Linked DNA regions of Arabidopsis thaliana. The protein of the gene in region 3 purifies or fractionates together with the protein of the main gene of each other region. This does not show direct contact. Each region holds a gene or a part of one and is shown on either strand. Other genes may lie near its edges.

What was found.
Region 1: the proteins of ROS4 (region 3) and AT3G11770 purify together in Arabidopsis thaliana (affinity purification with mass spectrometry, with the first as the bait; one study listed by BioGRID). This does not show direct contact.
Region 2: the proteins of ROS4 (region 3) and MBD6 purify together in Arabidopsis thaliana (affinity purification with mass spectrometry, with the first as the bait; one study listed by BioGRID). This does not show direct contact.

What each region holds. Positions count from the first base shown.
Region 1 is NC_003074.8:3,720,789-3,724,666, reverse strand, and holds AT3G11770 (Polynucleotidyl transferase, ribonuclease H-like superfamily protein), read left to right. Parts: upstream 1-1,925; 5' UTR 1,926-2,072; intron 2,073-2,559; 5' UTR 2,560-2,574; coding exon 2,575-3,177; 3' UTR 3,178-3,371; downstream 3,372-3,878. Other genes in the region: AT3G11780 (MD-2-related lipid recognition domain-containing protein / ML domain-containing protein), read left to right, coding at 20-73, 234-341; AT3G11773 (Thioredoxin superfamily protein), read left to right, coding at 1,008-1,268, 1,337-1,678; AT3G11760 (structural maintenance of chromosomes flexible hinge domain protein), read right to left, coding at 3,544-3,878. UniProt on the Arabidopsis thaliana protein: 3'-to-5' exoribonuclease (RNase) specifically targeting single-stranded RNAs. Triggers miRNA accumulation in RNA-induced silencing complex (RISC), composed of miRNAs and AGO proteins, by degrading uridylated cleavage fragments.
Region 2 is NC_003076.8:23,950,198-23,954,214, forward strand, and holds MBD6 (methyl-CPG-binding domain 6), read left to right. Parts: upstream 1-1,934; 5' UTR 1,935-2,123; coding exon 2,124-2,432; intron 2,433-2,841; coding exon 2,842-2,964; intron 2,965-3,042; coding exon 3,043-3,288; 3' UTR 3,289-3,510; downstream 3,511-4,017. Other genes in the region: ACT4 (actin 4), read left to right, coding at 63-456, 605-1,218, 1,324-1,389. UniProt on the Arabidopsis thaliana protein: Transcriptional regulator that binds CpG, CpNpN and CpNpG (N is A, T, or C) islands in promoters regardless the DNA methylation status. Plays probably a role in gene silencing. May associate with histone deacetylase proteins (HDAC).
Region 3 is NC_003074.8:5,039,502-5,047,356, reverse strand, and holds ROS4 (Acyl-CoA N-acyltransferase with RING/FYVE/PHD-type zinc finger protein), read left to right. Parts: upstream 1-1,831; 5' UTR 1,832-2,028; coding exon of another isoform or gene 2,029-2,247; intron 2,248-2,334; exon of another isoform or gene 2,335-2,404; intron 2,405-2,482; 5' UTR 2,483-2,545; coding exon 2,546-4,813; intron 4,814-5,039; coding exon 5,040-5,157; intron 5,158-5,474; coding exon 5,475-5,557; intron 5,558-5,741; coding exon 5,742-5,983; intron 5,984-6,106; coding exon 6,107-6,193; coding exon of another isoform or gene 6,194-6,203; exon of another isoform or gene 6,204-6,387; coding exon 6,388-6,487; intron 6,488-6,690; coding exon 6,691-6,892; coding exon of another isoform or gene 6,893-6,939; exon of another isoform or gene 6,940-6,956; coding exon 6,957-7,426; 3' UTR 7,427-7,545; downstream 7,546-7,855. Other genes in the region: AT3G14981 (uncharacterized protein), read right to left, coding at 2,029-2,247; AT3G14970 (RING/U-box superfamily protein), read left to right, coding at 7,624-7,855. UniProt on the Arabidopsis thaliana protein: Histone H3 acetyltransferase that binds methylated DNA at chromatin sites lacking histone H3K4 di- or trimethylation and catalyzes H3K18 and H3K23 acetylation. Prevents the transcriptional silencing of transgenes and of some endogenous genes.

The sequences.
Region 1 (3,878 bases), 1.3 Mb from region 3:
AGTTGGATAACTGAAATAGACTGAGAAGAGGTTTAACTTGGTTTCGATAGCATATTATGAGTTCCATGTGGAAGTATTATGTCTATTAAGCGGCTAAAGTGAAGAAGTTTAACCTTCTTGTTGTCAAGATTTGCTGGTTATGGTTTCTATAGTTATATGTTTGTCATACCAAACTTTCGTTTTGTGTTTCTGCATCTAAGGAAGGACCAGTCTAATCCTTTTCTTTCTCATAGGGTTCATACTCACTAAAAATGAAGATGCTTGATGGACGCAAGAAGGAGTTAACTTGCATCAAGTTCTCATTTGATATTGGATTTGGATCCTCCGTGGCCGACATGTAGAGCTGATTTGCTCGACGGGATACACCATCTTGTTCTATACCATGGAACCACTCTCATTTATTTTGTATAAAATACACTCTCCTGCTATACATAATTGTTGATCAAAAACCCTTTGAAAATTCTCATTCTGGACCATTCATGAATCCCCCCATTTATAGAAAAAACAAAGTAATGAATTATTGATTAGGTTTTATAGAGCTGTGGTTAGTTCTAGTTGCAACCTTAAAGCTGAGCCTACTTTAACCAATAGTACATCATTACATCCACGTTCATGGAATTATAAAGACGTGACATACATCATCATTCAACCAAACGTAAACCATTAATGACTTATCAGAAAAGATGAATTTTTTCATAGCTTCAATATACCAACATGTTAAAAGGGACATTCCTCCCCTTTTGCTATGTATTTGGACAAAGTTGGGCTAAAGTTGGGTAAATTCAATGTTTTTTGTTACCCTAATTTAGCTTATCGGTTATCTTCTTTAGTACTACAATGACCCGTCAAAGGAGAAACTTTTGAAAAGCTAACCCACAAAGTAGCTTTTTTGTTCAGTTGAGTACTCATTTCGTTTTTCTCTTATCCAGTCTCATGTTTGTCAATCTTGATTAGGTTTTTGCCTCTCCTCTTTCACAACTTCTTATCAAAGGTTGAAGGTTGAAGCAATGATGGATATGAAGGAGAGAATGGTGAAGAAACTTAAGCTTATTACATCTCTTGGGAACTTGAAGCAGGCGATAGCTCTCCACAAAAGCAATCTTGATCACACAATCTTTCATCAAATAGATGAGAAAGAGTGTCTTACGCCAACGACAATTGAGGTTTCTGAGGATAAACGACTTCAACAGAATCTTGATGAGCTTTTGTGGGCTTTTGAAGAGAAATGTGTAGCTGGTGGGCAAGATTCTGTTGCTTCTTCACAACAAGTCTACGAGGAGTGAGAAAGACTTTCGAAGATTGCAGAAGAGTGAGATTCTTGCTAGAGAATCATAAGGCATCATTCCGAGAAAGAGATGTTTCAATGGATTGTGAGTACAAAGAAGAGATGTGGAGATTGCTTGGGGAGCAAGTTACACCTCCTAGGCTCTTCATAAAGTGTAAGTACATTGGTGGAGCAGACGAGGTGGTGTCTCTTAACGAAAACGAGAAGCTCAAGAAGCTTCTAGAAGTGTTTTCATCAGCTAAGTCGCGGCAGTGTGAGATGTGCGAGAACGAAAGATTTTTGATATGTTCGAAATGCAATGGGAGGTCGAGAGTTGTTGCAGAGCACGAAACCTGGAAGAGATGCATAGAGTGTAATGAGAATGGTCTTGTGAAATGTGCTCTTTGTACTTAATCCAAGATTCCAAGTGCTTAATAACAATTTATTTATATGACTATAACTAATTGTTTTATATGAAACAAAATGCTATGAATATACAAGGAAAATTTTCGAAAACAATACTCAAGGAGTTGAGTGAGTTTTCCAAAATGTTAAACCAAAATCAACCAAAGTGAAGAAAAAAATAATGTTCTATTGACTCTTCTAAAATCCTTCTACTACGGAACACGTATGGCGACATTCGCACGTGCGATACCCGTAGGTAAAGACACGTGTCATTCCTTCAATGGGCAGGACCGTACTTTCACTTGCGTACTTTTCCTTCTTCTTCCGACAACAAACCCAGAAACAGTCTTTCTCTCTTCCGACTCCGTTTACTAGATCAGCCTTCTCGCACCGAAATCTCAAGGTTCGTGTTCCTCTTTTCTGTCTTTTTGGATTGAAAGATTTTTCTCATGTTTATATATAAATCTTCAATCCAAATCAACAAAAGCATGTTCCATCCGATGAACTTATTTGGGGACTTTCCTCTGTCTAATCCACACTTTATAAAAATCGTACCTTTGTATTGTGTTCATAGAACCCAAACGCTGATTAGAGTAAATTTGTTGTTCTGGCAAAAAACCCAATTAGCTCTGAATGCGTCTACACATTTCTTGAATCGGTCATTCTATTGCTGCTACACACTCAAAATCGATATTTCAATGTCTTTGTGAATTGGAAAACATATTGAAAATCTTTGCTGCTTTATCAGTTTTTCATTCGATTCATCGCTGAGCACATTCACAACAAAAACAGATCACTGATTATTAGAATTGTATTGATTCTGAGTGTCTCTCCAAGCTAATGGATCTATATGATGTTGTGTCTAATGTGTAATGTGAATATGTTTCCAGTGATTTCAGACCACAATGGCCTCATTCGATGGGCAAGGGTTTATGATGGTTGATAATTCTTGGGTCCAGACCAAAGCCATTGATGTTGAATCAACAACCGATATCTCTCCTTACCTTTCCAAGATCCTTGAAGATTCCGTCTGGAATGGAAACCGGTCCATTGTCTTTGATGTGTATTGGGATGTCAAATCAGTTAGCACAAAGTCCGAATGGCGTCTATGCTCAGTGAAGTTTAGCACTAAAAACTTCTGTCTCTTCCTCCGCCTGCCGAACCCGTTCTGTGATAATCTCAAGGATCTTTATCGCTTCTTTGCTTCCAAATTTGTCACATTTGTCGGTGTCCAGATTCAAGAAGACCTCGCTTTGCTTAAAGAAAACCACGGTATTGTGATCCGAAGCTCGTTGGAGATTGGGAAACTAGCTGCGAAAGCCCGAGGTACTCCAATTGTTGAGTTCCTTGGAACCAGAGAATTAGCTCACAAGATTCTTTGGTATGACATGAGTAGGCTTGATTCTATTCAGTCCAAGTGGGATGAAGCCAGCTCTAATGATCGTCTTGAAGCTGCTGCCATTGAAGGTTGGCTTATTTTCAATGTCTACGATCAATTGCAGCAGTGATTTTTCGTGGCAATGTTCTTCATGTAACTCTTATGTTAACCTTCTTGATCAAATGGATTTGTGAGATTGCGCTTGATTGCGCTTGATTGATTCATGTTGTGTATTGTGATGAGTGAACAATACTGTCTGAATAAAACATGCCCGGCCTTGTCTTTTTGTCTGAAGATTTTGAGATTATGGTACAATGCCAAAATTTTAAGCTGTAAAAACATAATGAACCAAAAAGAGACAGCGAAATAGAACGAGCAAAAATGTAAATTCCTTGGATAGTTAGATACAAACTGGTTTAACTCTAAATCACATTCACAAGTTAGTTACAAAACTTACAAGAAACTCAACAAAACGTTAGCAACTCTGCCTAGGCTTTTATAGACTGGTAATCTCTGCGTTTGTGGTGTAATGAAACTCGATCTGTAAACGGTGATGAACAGGCGCGGTTGAGGCTAATCCTTTCTTGATATCCTCTTGCAACTCCCTAATTGGTATGGCCGCCAAGAAATTCTTAATATACTCTTTACATGACTCCTTCCCTCTGCTCAAAATCTCTGATTCAGGTTCTGATTCGGATCCTGCTTCCTCTGTGTGAAGAATCTTGTGGATGACGGTTTTATGGTCGAATTTCAAAACGTAAGCTTGATCACAACCCTCGTAAAGCCTTTCTCCAAGTGTGTCAATGATATAGTAAGCTTCTTTTTCAACTT
Region 2 (4,017 bases), on a different chromosome or scaffold from region 3:
TATGTCACATATATATAAGGCTATGCCATAAACGACTACTCAAAAATATATCCCGTGCTTAGGCCGGATTCGCGGGTGACGATGCACCAAGAGCGGTTTTTCCGAGCATTGTAGGCCGTCCTCGCCACACGGGTGTGATGGTAGGGATGGGACAAAAGGATGCTTATGTTGGAGACGAGGCTCAATCAAAACGTGGTATCTTGACTCTGAAGTACCCAATTGAGCATGGAATTGTTAATAATTGGGATGACATGGAGAAGATTTGGCATCACACTTTCTACAATGAGCTTCGTGTTGCCCCTGAAGAACATCCGGTTCTCTTGACCGAAGCTCCTCTCAATCCGAAAGCTAACCGTGAGAAGATGACTCAGATCATGTTTGAGACATTCAATACTCCTGCTATGTATGTTGCCATTCAAGCTGTTCTCTCACTCTATGCCAGTGGCCGTACAACTGGTCAGTAACACACTTATATTTGTGTTGATCCAATCTATAACCAGTTTTTTTTCATGCTTGATTTTAAATAATATGAACTATTTTAAGGACTATTTGGTTATGCTTTTATGGACAACCCTAATTGGTTCTTTTGCAAATTATTGATTAGGTATTGTTTTGGACTCTGGAGATGGTGTGAGCCACACGGTACCAATCTACGAGGGTTACGCTCTCCCACACGCAATCCTACGTCTTGACCTAGCAGGTCGTGACCTCACGGACCACCTCATGAAAATCCTCACAGAGCGTGGATACTCCTTCACCACAACTGCTGAACGTGAAATTGTTAGAGACATGAAAGAGAAGCTCTCTTACATTGCTCTAGACTTCGAGCAAGAGCTAGAGACTTCCAAAACAAGCTCGTCCGTTGAGAAAAGCTTCGAGCTTCCTGATGGACAAGTGATAACCATTGGAGCAGAGAGGTTCCGGTGTCCGGAAGTTCTGTTCCAGCCGTCAATGATCGGAATGGAAAATCCAGGAATCCATGAAACCACATATAACTCTATCATGAAATGTGATGTGGATATTAGGAAAGACTTGTATGGTAACATTGTGCTAAGTGGTGGAACCACAATGTTTGGAGGGATTGGTGATAGAATGAGCAAAGAGATTACGGCTTTGGCTCCAAGTAGTATGAAGATTAAGGTCGTGGCTCCACCGGAGAGGAAGTACAGTGTATGGATCGGTGGCTCTATATTGGCTTCACTCAGCACTTTCCAGCAGGTGAACACATTAATATACATTTTTATTATTATTTGATCATGTATAATATAACATTCATAAGTTTGTTTTGATATAAATATTGGTATGTGTTTGAAAACTTGACAGATGTGGATTGCGAAAGCAGAGTACGATGAATCTGGACCCTCAATAGTGCATAGGAAATGCTTCTAATCACAGTTCCTAAGATCACCAAACGAAGACGGAAGTAAAAGTAAAAGACAGAAGGTTAAAAACATTGAGATTACTACCAAATGCCACATTTTTCCATTATATTTTCTAATCTCTCTTTTATCCTTTTTTTTTTGAATAGCCTCTCTATGTTAATTTTTCAACTAAGCATACTTTTCTTTAAACAATTTCCACTCCCAATGTACTATATATAAGCGACTAATTTCAATTATTATATTTTCTATTTTAAACTTAATTTATTTGTTACTCAAAAGAGATTTTGTGATGGTTAAACAATTGTGACTAATATACTTCAAAGACATCCGTATCAAACACAAAACAAGCTCCATAATGTTGATCTAGTACAAACAATTGTGACATATAAATGCATATTGTCGAAACTCACTAAATCTTAGATTACTCGGTTAAATGGATGTGGTCTAATAAGTGTCAATAAACACAACACAAAATGTTAAACTGATGGATTAGTGATGAGAAGATGAGTTTAAATGTTTCATTTAGTAATAAAACGTGTTTATTATGTTTGTTGGTAAAGAAAAGAAGAAACGAATTGTTGATGGTTAACTAAATTTTAATTTCTTATTCGATCTCGGTTTAACCGAACCGAATCGTAAACCCAGAAACAGAAGCTGCGACGGAGAATCCATTTCTCGAGATCGTCGCCGTTAAAATCTGCGATCTCATTGCTCATTGGTGAAGACAAATCCCTAATTCGTATGTCAGATTCTGTGGCCGGCGATTTCCCTCCCGATCCACTTCTCGCCTCCGGAGCCTTCATCTCCTCCGCCGGTGACGGAACCCTAGACAGTAGTGCGAAACGACGACCGATTCAGGGAGGAATCGGAATTTCTGGTTCGGGAGAGAGCGTACGCATCGGGATGGCTAACGGCACTGATCAGGTGAATCATCAGACGGAATCGAAGTCGCGGAAGCGTGCGGCGCCTGGAGATAATTGGTTGCCTCCTGGTTGGAGAGTTGAAGATAAGATTCGAACTTCCGGTGCCACAGCTGGTTCGGTGGATAAGGTAAAGAATCTCAGCTTGACTCTGCTTTTCTCTATGAAGTTTTGAGCTGCGTTGTTGCTTGAAGACTACAAATTGAGGATTCTTTGATTGCTGTTGTTTTGTTCTCTTTGGTTTAAAAATCTTGCCTTTAAAGTAGTGACAAGTGTAATGATGTAGTAAAATGATGTGGTTGGTTCTGCTTAAGCATTAATGAGTTTGTTTAGATTATGTTAATGGTGTATTGGGACTTGAATCATACACTTTATCAGTGTGATTAGTGTTACTTTGATTTATCAGGTGGATTTAGATGGTTTGGTTTGGTATATATTGTGATTGAAGAGATGAAGTTTTGGTGTTGTTATACTCGATGCTAATATGGGTGTAGATATTGATGTGTAGACTTGTGACATTTTCTTATCTGGTTTTGCAGTACTATTACGAACCAAATACAGGACGTAAGTTTCGGTCCAGGACTGAGGTGCTGTACTACTTGGAACATGGAACTTCTAAAAGAGGCACCAAGAAAGCTGAGAATACATATTTCAATCCAGACGTGAGTTTACATGCTTAAAGATTAAACCTTTCACCCTGGTTTCAAACCTGTGATGTGTATTGAATTTTGCATTTGCAGCATTTTGAAGGCCAAGGAAGCAATAGAGTCACCAGAACCGCTACAGTGCCTCCACCTCCGCCACCGCCATTGGACTTTGATTTTAAGAATCCACCAGACAAGGTAAGCTGGTCTATGGCAAACGCAGGAGAAGAAGGTTGGATACCTAATATTGGGGACGTCAAGGTTCAAGACTCAGTGAGACGAGATTGGAGCACTGCGTTTACCTTTATCACAAGCCGAAACCCTAGTAAAGTGTCGGCTTGAAGACTATGATGACCTGGTGGCGATTTTTGGGTTGTTGCATCTATGGTAAGATACACAGATATGTTAGGGTTACTTAATTGGATAATTCTTGTTTAGTCTTCATTCATCAATCATCAAGTTATGTGTACTATAATTTTTGTAGCGGTTTTTGGAAGAATATGATAAGGGGATATGCATCTTTGTGTTTGCTTTTGGAACGTGATAACCATTCGACTTTTGACTGATGAAATTGAAGACACTGTCGTAGTAACAAAGCTATTCTTCTTAGACATTTTGATACTGAACTATTCTGTGTTCCAAAGTCTTTTACTTTGTGTTTAGGAAAAGATCTTGTTCTTTGTGAAACCAGTGTCGTAATTCAAGAACTAATGCTTGACATGTCTCACCTGCTCAGGTTATCTAAATCTAATGGATAAGAAGAAACATCAACAATACTGCACTGATACAAGACAAGAAGCGTCTGTAGTCCAACGGTTAGGATAATTGCCTTCCAAGCAATAGACCCGGGTTCGACTCCCGGCAGACGCAATTATATTTTTCCCAAACATAATTTTAGATTTTGTTAACCAAACAATTTGTGGGGTTCGAATGTAACTGGTTGTAGCACATTTAATATCTGCAATAAATTATCAAAAAGGCCATTGGAACTCTCCCAACCCATCGTCTAATTTAGTAATTTTTGGTCTTGTAACCTTCTAGGTGTACCAGAGGCTTCCTTATTAGTCTTGT
Region 3 (7,855 bases):
AAGAAGATAGACGTGTGCGATGACGTAAGCATAAAGAAAAAGAAACTCGACGATACGTGTCGAACATTCATTGGTGGAACGTGGCGAAAGCTTCTTTTGAGTCTTTCCACGTCATTGTATTGGATAAAATCAGAAAAAGCCACTTTGGTTTCGGTAAACTAAGACGGCGTGAAGTTGGCGAGAAAAAAGTATTACAACAACGACATCACGTCCTGGTTCTTAATTTTGTGGAAGCACGTGTTGTCGTTTTTGATACATGTACTTTGTAGTAGAGTAAACCGGACGAACTTCTGAAGAGATGTTTTGTTAATTTTGTAGCGTTCCAATAATTTATGGGCTTTATATGGGAGTGTTAACCGGTCGAAAAAGTACTCCTACCCTTTCAAATAGCTATTAACGCGAAATTTGAAACTACTAGTTAAACTTAACCAAATATGATCCCATAAATATGATATATATACACGGTAAACTAATTAAGAGACTGTTCAGATGGTTTTTGGATGAATCGGTGTATTCAAATTAACACAAACACACACATTTTTCAAAATGGACAGCCTGAAATCATGATTTTTGTTATGATCTCTAATTTCTAACCCAACATGCAACAAACAATAAATGATCAATACCCATTATCCGGTCCAAAGTGTTTTTAACAAACTTAACGTTTTAGATATAATCCAAGGATGTGTGTCAAAATTCACTTATATTGTAATAGACGAAATTAAACTAGATTAAATCACATGTTTGTGTGTTTTAACCATGTTTGATGGCTTCGTTGGGTCCAACATATTCCATTCACAATTAGGATGAAGAAGAATGTCTCAATACAGAAAGCCAAATATAAAGCAAAACACGTGGCTCATGCATTAGCTTCGCAAGCGAGCCGAATTATTTGTTATTGACTTATGTGGATCAAAATTAGCAAATGAGGTCTACCATCTACCCTTTTAAAAAAGAATCGTTTCTTTTTAACCATAGTTAAACCTTAAAAATGAAAAAAGTATCTAGAATTGATCCCCTCTAAATATTTTTTTTTTTAAAAACAAATACTTTCACATAACACAGTCGTTTTCATCGTACTGGTACATGTACTTTTTGGAATTTTCATATATCAAAATCGAATAAGAAGAAACAAAGATTCAGAGCCGTATTCCTATATATAGTTAATACAAAACATGCAATAACTAATCTGTTCACACAACAAAATAGGTTAAAATACGACTTATGTCCATCATCGCATGCACCTATTTGATAGTACAGTATTTGTTATCGTTAAGACACGTAAAGATTCCCCGCGCAAATTACAAAGCATCCAATCCACTTAACAGATATTGATTATACATATTAAGACAAAACCTGTTACAATCGGTGATGACTGAATTTTAAAGGACAAAAACATAAGCTGAAATGATTTAAAACGACAACAGAAGAACAGTTAGAAACCTGGCAATTAAATATGCTAACCTTTTTTTTCATTTTAGTTTGTCTGTTATTTTTGTCAGAACAGTTTTTGTCTGTGGCGAATTTAGTAAAAAAAAACTTTGTCAAGAACTTAAAACCATAGTCATTAATATTGGCTTATAGTGATACGATCGTCATTAACAGGATTAAGAATTTGATAACAGAAGAAAAAAACGACGAATATTTGGGTTTTAATTTGTGTAATTAAACGAATTTAAGTACTCCATATACTATAACTGCTGGTCCGTTGTTATCAGAGAGGAGACAGAATCTTAAGGTGAAAAATGAAGAATGACTTTTTCAGTATAACGAAGGAAAAATAAAATAAAAACACGAAGATGCCTTTTTGGTGACAGCACACAATTTATAGAAAAGAAAAAAAGAAAAAAAACGAGAAGAGAAAGAAATAGCCAATAATAAGTATACACACACTGTGCACAACAAAGTGATAGAGGCAGATTCAGAGAGGTGAAAAAAAGTTCGTCAGAATTTATCTATCTGATGAATTTTGGTTGAGAGATTTAACACCGAATCAGAGGTGGGTTTCTTCCACAATTATAGAAAAAGCTAAAAAGATAGACAAATTGTTGTTCTTTCTGTGTGTGAGATAGAGATCAAGGAGAGAGAGTGTGTGAGTGCAGAGAACGTGAAATGGAATGAAAATGCGTTTCCCACTTGCGGTTGGAGAGGATAAGGGCGACGAAATGAGTCTATTTCAGTGAGAAGAAGCCATTTCTCCGATTTCACAGCTCTGATTTCATTCTGCATGCTGGTAATGTCCTGCATTTCCCAATTTTTGAGCTTTCTTTTTGGATGTAATTAGTCATTATAACATCTCAATTTCATGAAATCTGGTCTATCGTTTTGCTCTAGGCTTCAAAGTTTTGGCCTTTCTAGAAGGATCTCTGATTTTATCTTGTTTTGAATCCGCTTCCGCTTATGGGTATGTGTTTTGGATTAGGATGTCGAGTTCCAAACTTTTGGGTTCTGTGAGTTTATTCATTACTTTATATAATTGCAGGTATCTATCTACAACCTTCCTTTTAAGTTAAGGTGAAGTGGAATATGCAGTTAGTTTGTGGAGATGCTTCCCGGAGCTGAGATTGAGATGTTAGGAGGTGACTGCTTTGAAGGGTCATATGAGGATCATCAGATATTCAGAGAAGTTTTCTTTGGAAGTGATCCTGGAAATACTACTAAAAGATGTCTCGTTACTGGAGCCATTAACTTCGAATGTGATTCCAGTAAGAATGTCAATTCCTCTCTGAGTTCCAACTCTGTGGTAACTAGTGGATATGCATGTCCACAAGGTTTTGAGGCATCTGCTTCAAGAGATGGTTCAGATTTTAACACTAAAGCTAAGAGAGTGAAGCTTTCAGGTAATAAGCATTTGGATGCAAGGGACGAAAAGGGATCTGCTTTGCATGGTTTTCCAACTTCGGACATAGCTAGAGAGACGATACCTCTCCATTTAGTTGAATCATCTAACAAGGGTGTTTCAACTAGCTCATATTTGTTGAAGCACAGCATAGTAAAGGGAAGAGAAGTTTATCTGGGTGGCATTGTGTCTGGAAAGTGTAAGTCACTAAACTTGGACAAATGCGATGGAAAGGAATTTAAAGCTATTGCCTCTCCTGTTTCTCAGGAGAGCTTCGCAACCAGAATGATCTCTGTAGGTGCTTCTACGCCGCATAGTGAGAAGGCTTGCTTCCCGCTACAGTTGAACAACGGATCTAAAGTATCTCCTAATGAGTTAATTATGTCTAAAACCTGCCTAAAGATTGATCCTAAAGAGGACCCCCGTCCTCTTCTCTACAAGTATGTCTGTAAGGTTCTAACTGCTGCCAGATGGAAAATTGAGAAGCGCGAAAGATCAGCAGGTAGGAAACATGTAGACACATTTTACATATCGCCAGAGGGACGGAAATTTCGTGAATTTGGGTCAGCTTGGAAAGCATTGGGTGGGATCCTATTAGCTGATCGTAAGTTAATGGATACTGGTACTAAGAAATGGACTGGTATTAATGACTTCTGGTCCGATCTCTCTCTTACACTGTTGGACATCGAGGAGAACATGAAAAATTTAAATCTTGCTAACACACGGGCACTTTGGTGGAGTGCCTTAGAGCCTTTTGTGGTTGTTGTCTTCATTTCTAAGCAAGTTGGTTCTTTAAGAAAAGGAAATAAAGTTGAAGTTGCAAGGAATTCAAATCCAGACAAGTTGAAGAAAGAAGATACAATTTGTTTGAACCTGATTTCAGGCTGTCCTGAAAGTGTGCTGACAGTATCTGAAGGCAGTCATCTTGTTCATGACGTGGATGCTAACCAAGAGATACATTCAGATCTTGAGGTGCAAACTAAAATTTCCTCTCAAAAAGTTTCTTCAAGACTAGAGAGGCAGAGCATAATTGGTAAGGAAATCTCTGGGACTCATGAGCAGGAGGCTAGCAAGGGCATTGTAGCTTCAAAATTGATAGCAGAAGACATGCATGAAAGTGTTATGAGAAAGAACTTACACAGAAGATCAAAGAAAATATCCGATATCAAACCAGCTTCCTTGGACCAACATGATTCACTAGATTCTAATTCTCTCAATAGCTTTGAATTCCAGGATAAAGAGATGGGCAACATTCACCTCGTCTCAAAGGGAAGTCGGGATGAAAGGTTGAGGAATGAGAAGATGAATAATTCATGTTGCAATTCAAAGAAAGGAAGAAAGAAAGCTAGGAAGCACTATACTCAAGATGATGACCTTATGGGGTCGACAATAACCAGAAACAAAGGTAAGTTCAGCAGATCAAGCCAGAAAAAGAAAACACAGAAGCCAAAGGCTAGAACAAAGAAAAGAAACAATAGGGGAGGGTGCAGGTTGCTTCCCCGAAGCTCAAGCAATGTGGAAAATCATTTTTTTCAAGGAAATTGGTCTATTTTGGGTCCTAGAACTGTCTTATCATGGTTGATAGCTACCAAAGTAATTTCTAGAGACGAAGTAATCCAGTTACGAGATCCAGATGATGATACTGTGGTAAAAACAGGCCTGGTAACTAAAGATGGAGTGGTTTGTACATGTTGCAACAAGACTGTGTCACTTTCTGAATTCAAGAACCATGCTGGATTTAACCAGAACTGTCCATGTCTGAATCTTTTCATGGGGTCAGGAAAGCCTTTCGCTTCATGTCAGCTGGAAGCTTGGTCTGCTGAGTATAAGGCGCGAAGAAATGGATGGAGATTAGAGAAAGCCTCTGATGATGATCCAAATGATGATTCTTGTGGAGTTTGTGGTGATGGGGGTGAGCTGATCTGCTGTGATAATTGTCCATCTACCTTCCATCAGGCGTGCTTATCAATGCAGGTATTGTCTGACTCATTCCAGGGTATATTTACATTTTAACTATTATTTATCCCGGTAATTAACTCTTTGCAAAACATACACATGGGTGAAACTTCTTGGCTGATTCTGTGATTCTTACTAATTCAACTCTAGTAACTTACACGGCATTAGTATAACTAGGATATTTTACCTTAAATTGGTACCCTCTAAAGAGAGTTGCTGTATTGCTTTTGCTTTTTCTACCCAGGTGCTCCCTGAAGGAAGTTGGTATTGCTCGAGCTGCACATGTTGGATATGCAGCGAGTTGGTTAGTGATAATGCTGAACGCTCTCAGGACTTTAAATGTTCCCAGTGTGCGCATAAATGTAATCATCTTACAGCTCGCAATCTCTTAGAAACTATGATTTATTTCTTTATCACATGAAAGGAAACCCCTGATTTGAATTCTCTTCTATCATGTCTCACTGAGATTTTATCACGATTGATGTCACTGTTCATCAGTAACAGTTGTAGATGGTGGTTTTCTGCCAGGCTCAGCACTTCTCCAATTTTCTTTCTTTAGTAATTGACACTTTGTAAAACTCACTTTTGGAGTTATGCCTCTCGCGACAGTTGGATCCCACATTAGTTATTTTGGTATGAAATCCACTTTGGCTGATGATTGTTACCTTTATGTTATCAGATCATGGAACATGTTTGCAAGGGATAAGTAAACGCAGAAAGCTTTTTCCAGAGACCTACTTTTGTGGTAAAAATTGCGAGAAGGTATTAATCATACCTAGTCACTGTGACTTAAACAACTAATGGGTAGTTTTTAAATTTACATTGAGAATAATAGTATATTTTTCGCTGCTCTTGGGCTCTTTGACATATAAACAAAGAAGATGTTAGCATGTTACAGCTGCTTCACAACTTTCAAGGTTCTCATTAAGTAGCTCGTGTAATGCAGGTGTACAATGGTCTTAGTTCTCGTGTTGGGATCATTAACCCTAATGCTGATGGTCTGTCTTGGTCAATTCTTAAATGTTTTCAAGAAGATGGAATGGTTCATTCTGCCCGAAGGTTGGCGCTGAAGGCTGAATGCAACTCGAAATTAGCTGTTGCCCTATCAATTATGGAGGAAAGCTTTCTGTCTATGGTAGATCCAAGAACTGGTATTGACATGATACCTCATGTGCTATACAACTGGGGGTAACGTCCTTTTGTCATTAGCTTGCACACTTAGATTTCTGTTTGTTACTTCTGTACCTTCAGTTCTGCTCTTCATTTTCATCGCTTTGTCTTACCTTTTTTGAATCTTTGTTGCACTTAAAGGTCAACATTTGCTCGGTTAGACTTTGATGGGTTTTACACAGTGGTTGTGGAAAAGGATGATGTGATGATCTCAGTAGCATCTATCAGGTTAGTATGAAGAAACTCGAATTCATGCTGAAAAAACAGTAATCTCATGGCTATCAAAGTGTTTGGTATGTCTTCTAGAACCTCCAGGCAATGAAACAAAATTTGACACTATCACCAAATGGATGCTTAGAACTATTCTTTCACTTCCATCCACTGGAACGAGTTACATATAAACCCCATTTTACTATATCCAGGGTGCACGGAGTAACTATTGCAGAGATGCCTCTTGTAGCTACGTGCAGCAAATATCGCCGACAGGGCATGTGTAGAATCCTCGTGGCTGCCATTGAAGAGGTACGATATTTAGAATGTAACCATGTGGTTGTTCTTGAAGCTACATCCACATTAATAATGTCTAAACTTAGTACAATGATAGACATACAGCACCGCTCATATGCTGACCTTGATAATCCCTTAGCTCATATGATCTCTCTTCCAGTCTTGTCTTGATCCCTGGGCTATCAATAGATAAAACTATTCATTGGTTTTGGCTGCAGATGCTTATGTCTCTCAAAGTGGAGAAGCTTGTGGTAGCTGCATTGCCGAGTTTAGTGGAAACTTGGACTGAAGGTTTTGGCTTCAAACCCATGGATGATGAAGAGCGTGATGCTCTCAAAAGAATAAACTTGATGGTATTCCCTGGGACAACTCTGCTCAAGAAAACACTATACGAGAGCACAAAACCCAGCACTATGAAAGGTAAAGCCAACTCCTCTCTCCCTCTCTCTCGAACGAACTTCATTTGATTTTTGCTCCTGTACAGGTGTATGTCTTTCTAAAGAACGCAATAACCCATCAAACAAAGAAGCAGATCTAGAGCCAGGTCTAGACAAAGCCGGGTCTCCCATGAGTACCCAAGTTGAGAGCTGTGATCAGATGGTTCCAGCAGGTTCAGATGATGAGCCATCCCCAGGCTTCCCCGTACCACTCGGAGCCGATCAAACAGAACCAACTTCAGAAACAGAGAACCCAAGCCGAGACAGCAATGCCAATGATAGGCCAAATAAAACAACAGTAGTCTCTATAGGAGAAGAAGAAGAAGAAGAATGTTTGCAGAAAGATGTATCAAAGTTATCAGAAGAAGGAAAAGAAACGACAAGGGCTTCTTCTTCCTCTGCAGCTTTAGAAGAAGTTAGTGGTCTAGGACTAGGAGTAGTAAATAATGTTAGCGATGAGATGTTGCTTTGTGTTGATGAACAGCTTGACTCTGATAGCTCTCAGGATTCGGAATAATATTATTAGACTAAAAAACTATGATCGTTTCTTTCTCTATATCCTCTCGTCACTTTTTTTTTTTTGAAAGAAAACCCTACTAAGATAAGGAAACCGCATAAAAGAGGATTCTATATTTTCATTTTCATTTTCAAGTCTTATCAAGCCTCAAAACCCTAAATACCAAATATCAAAACGCCCATTTTTCCGAACAAATCATGGTTTTTGATGCTGTCAATCCAGACCCCGACAGCTTCGTTTACTATTATCCGATCTATAACGATGAAGGCGATTTTGGCAGAACCCAAAACTTGATGTTCAAGTTTCATTTATGTTACAATCTTGCCCCTGAAGTAAATTCAGATGGAGAAGATGAAAATCCTCTCGATCTTGAAACTCTACTCGTTGATCGAACTCACGAGTTTGATAAAGGATTGCTTTTCAGTGGAG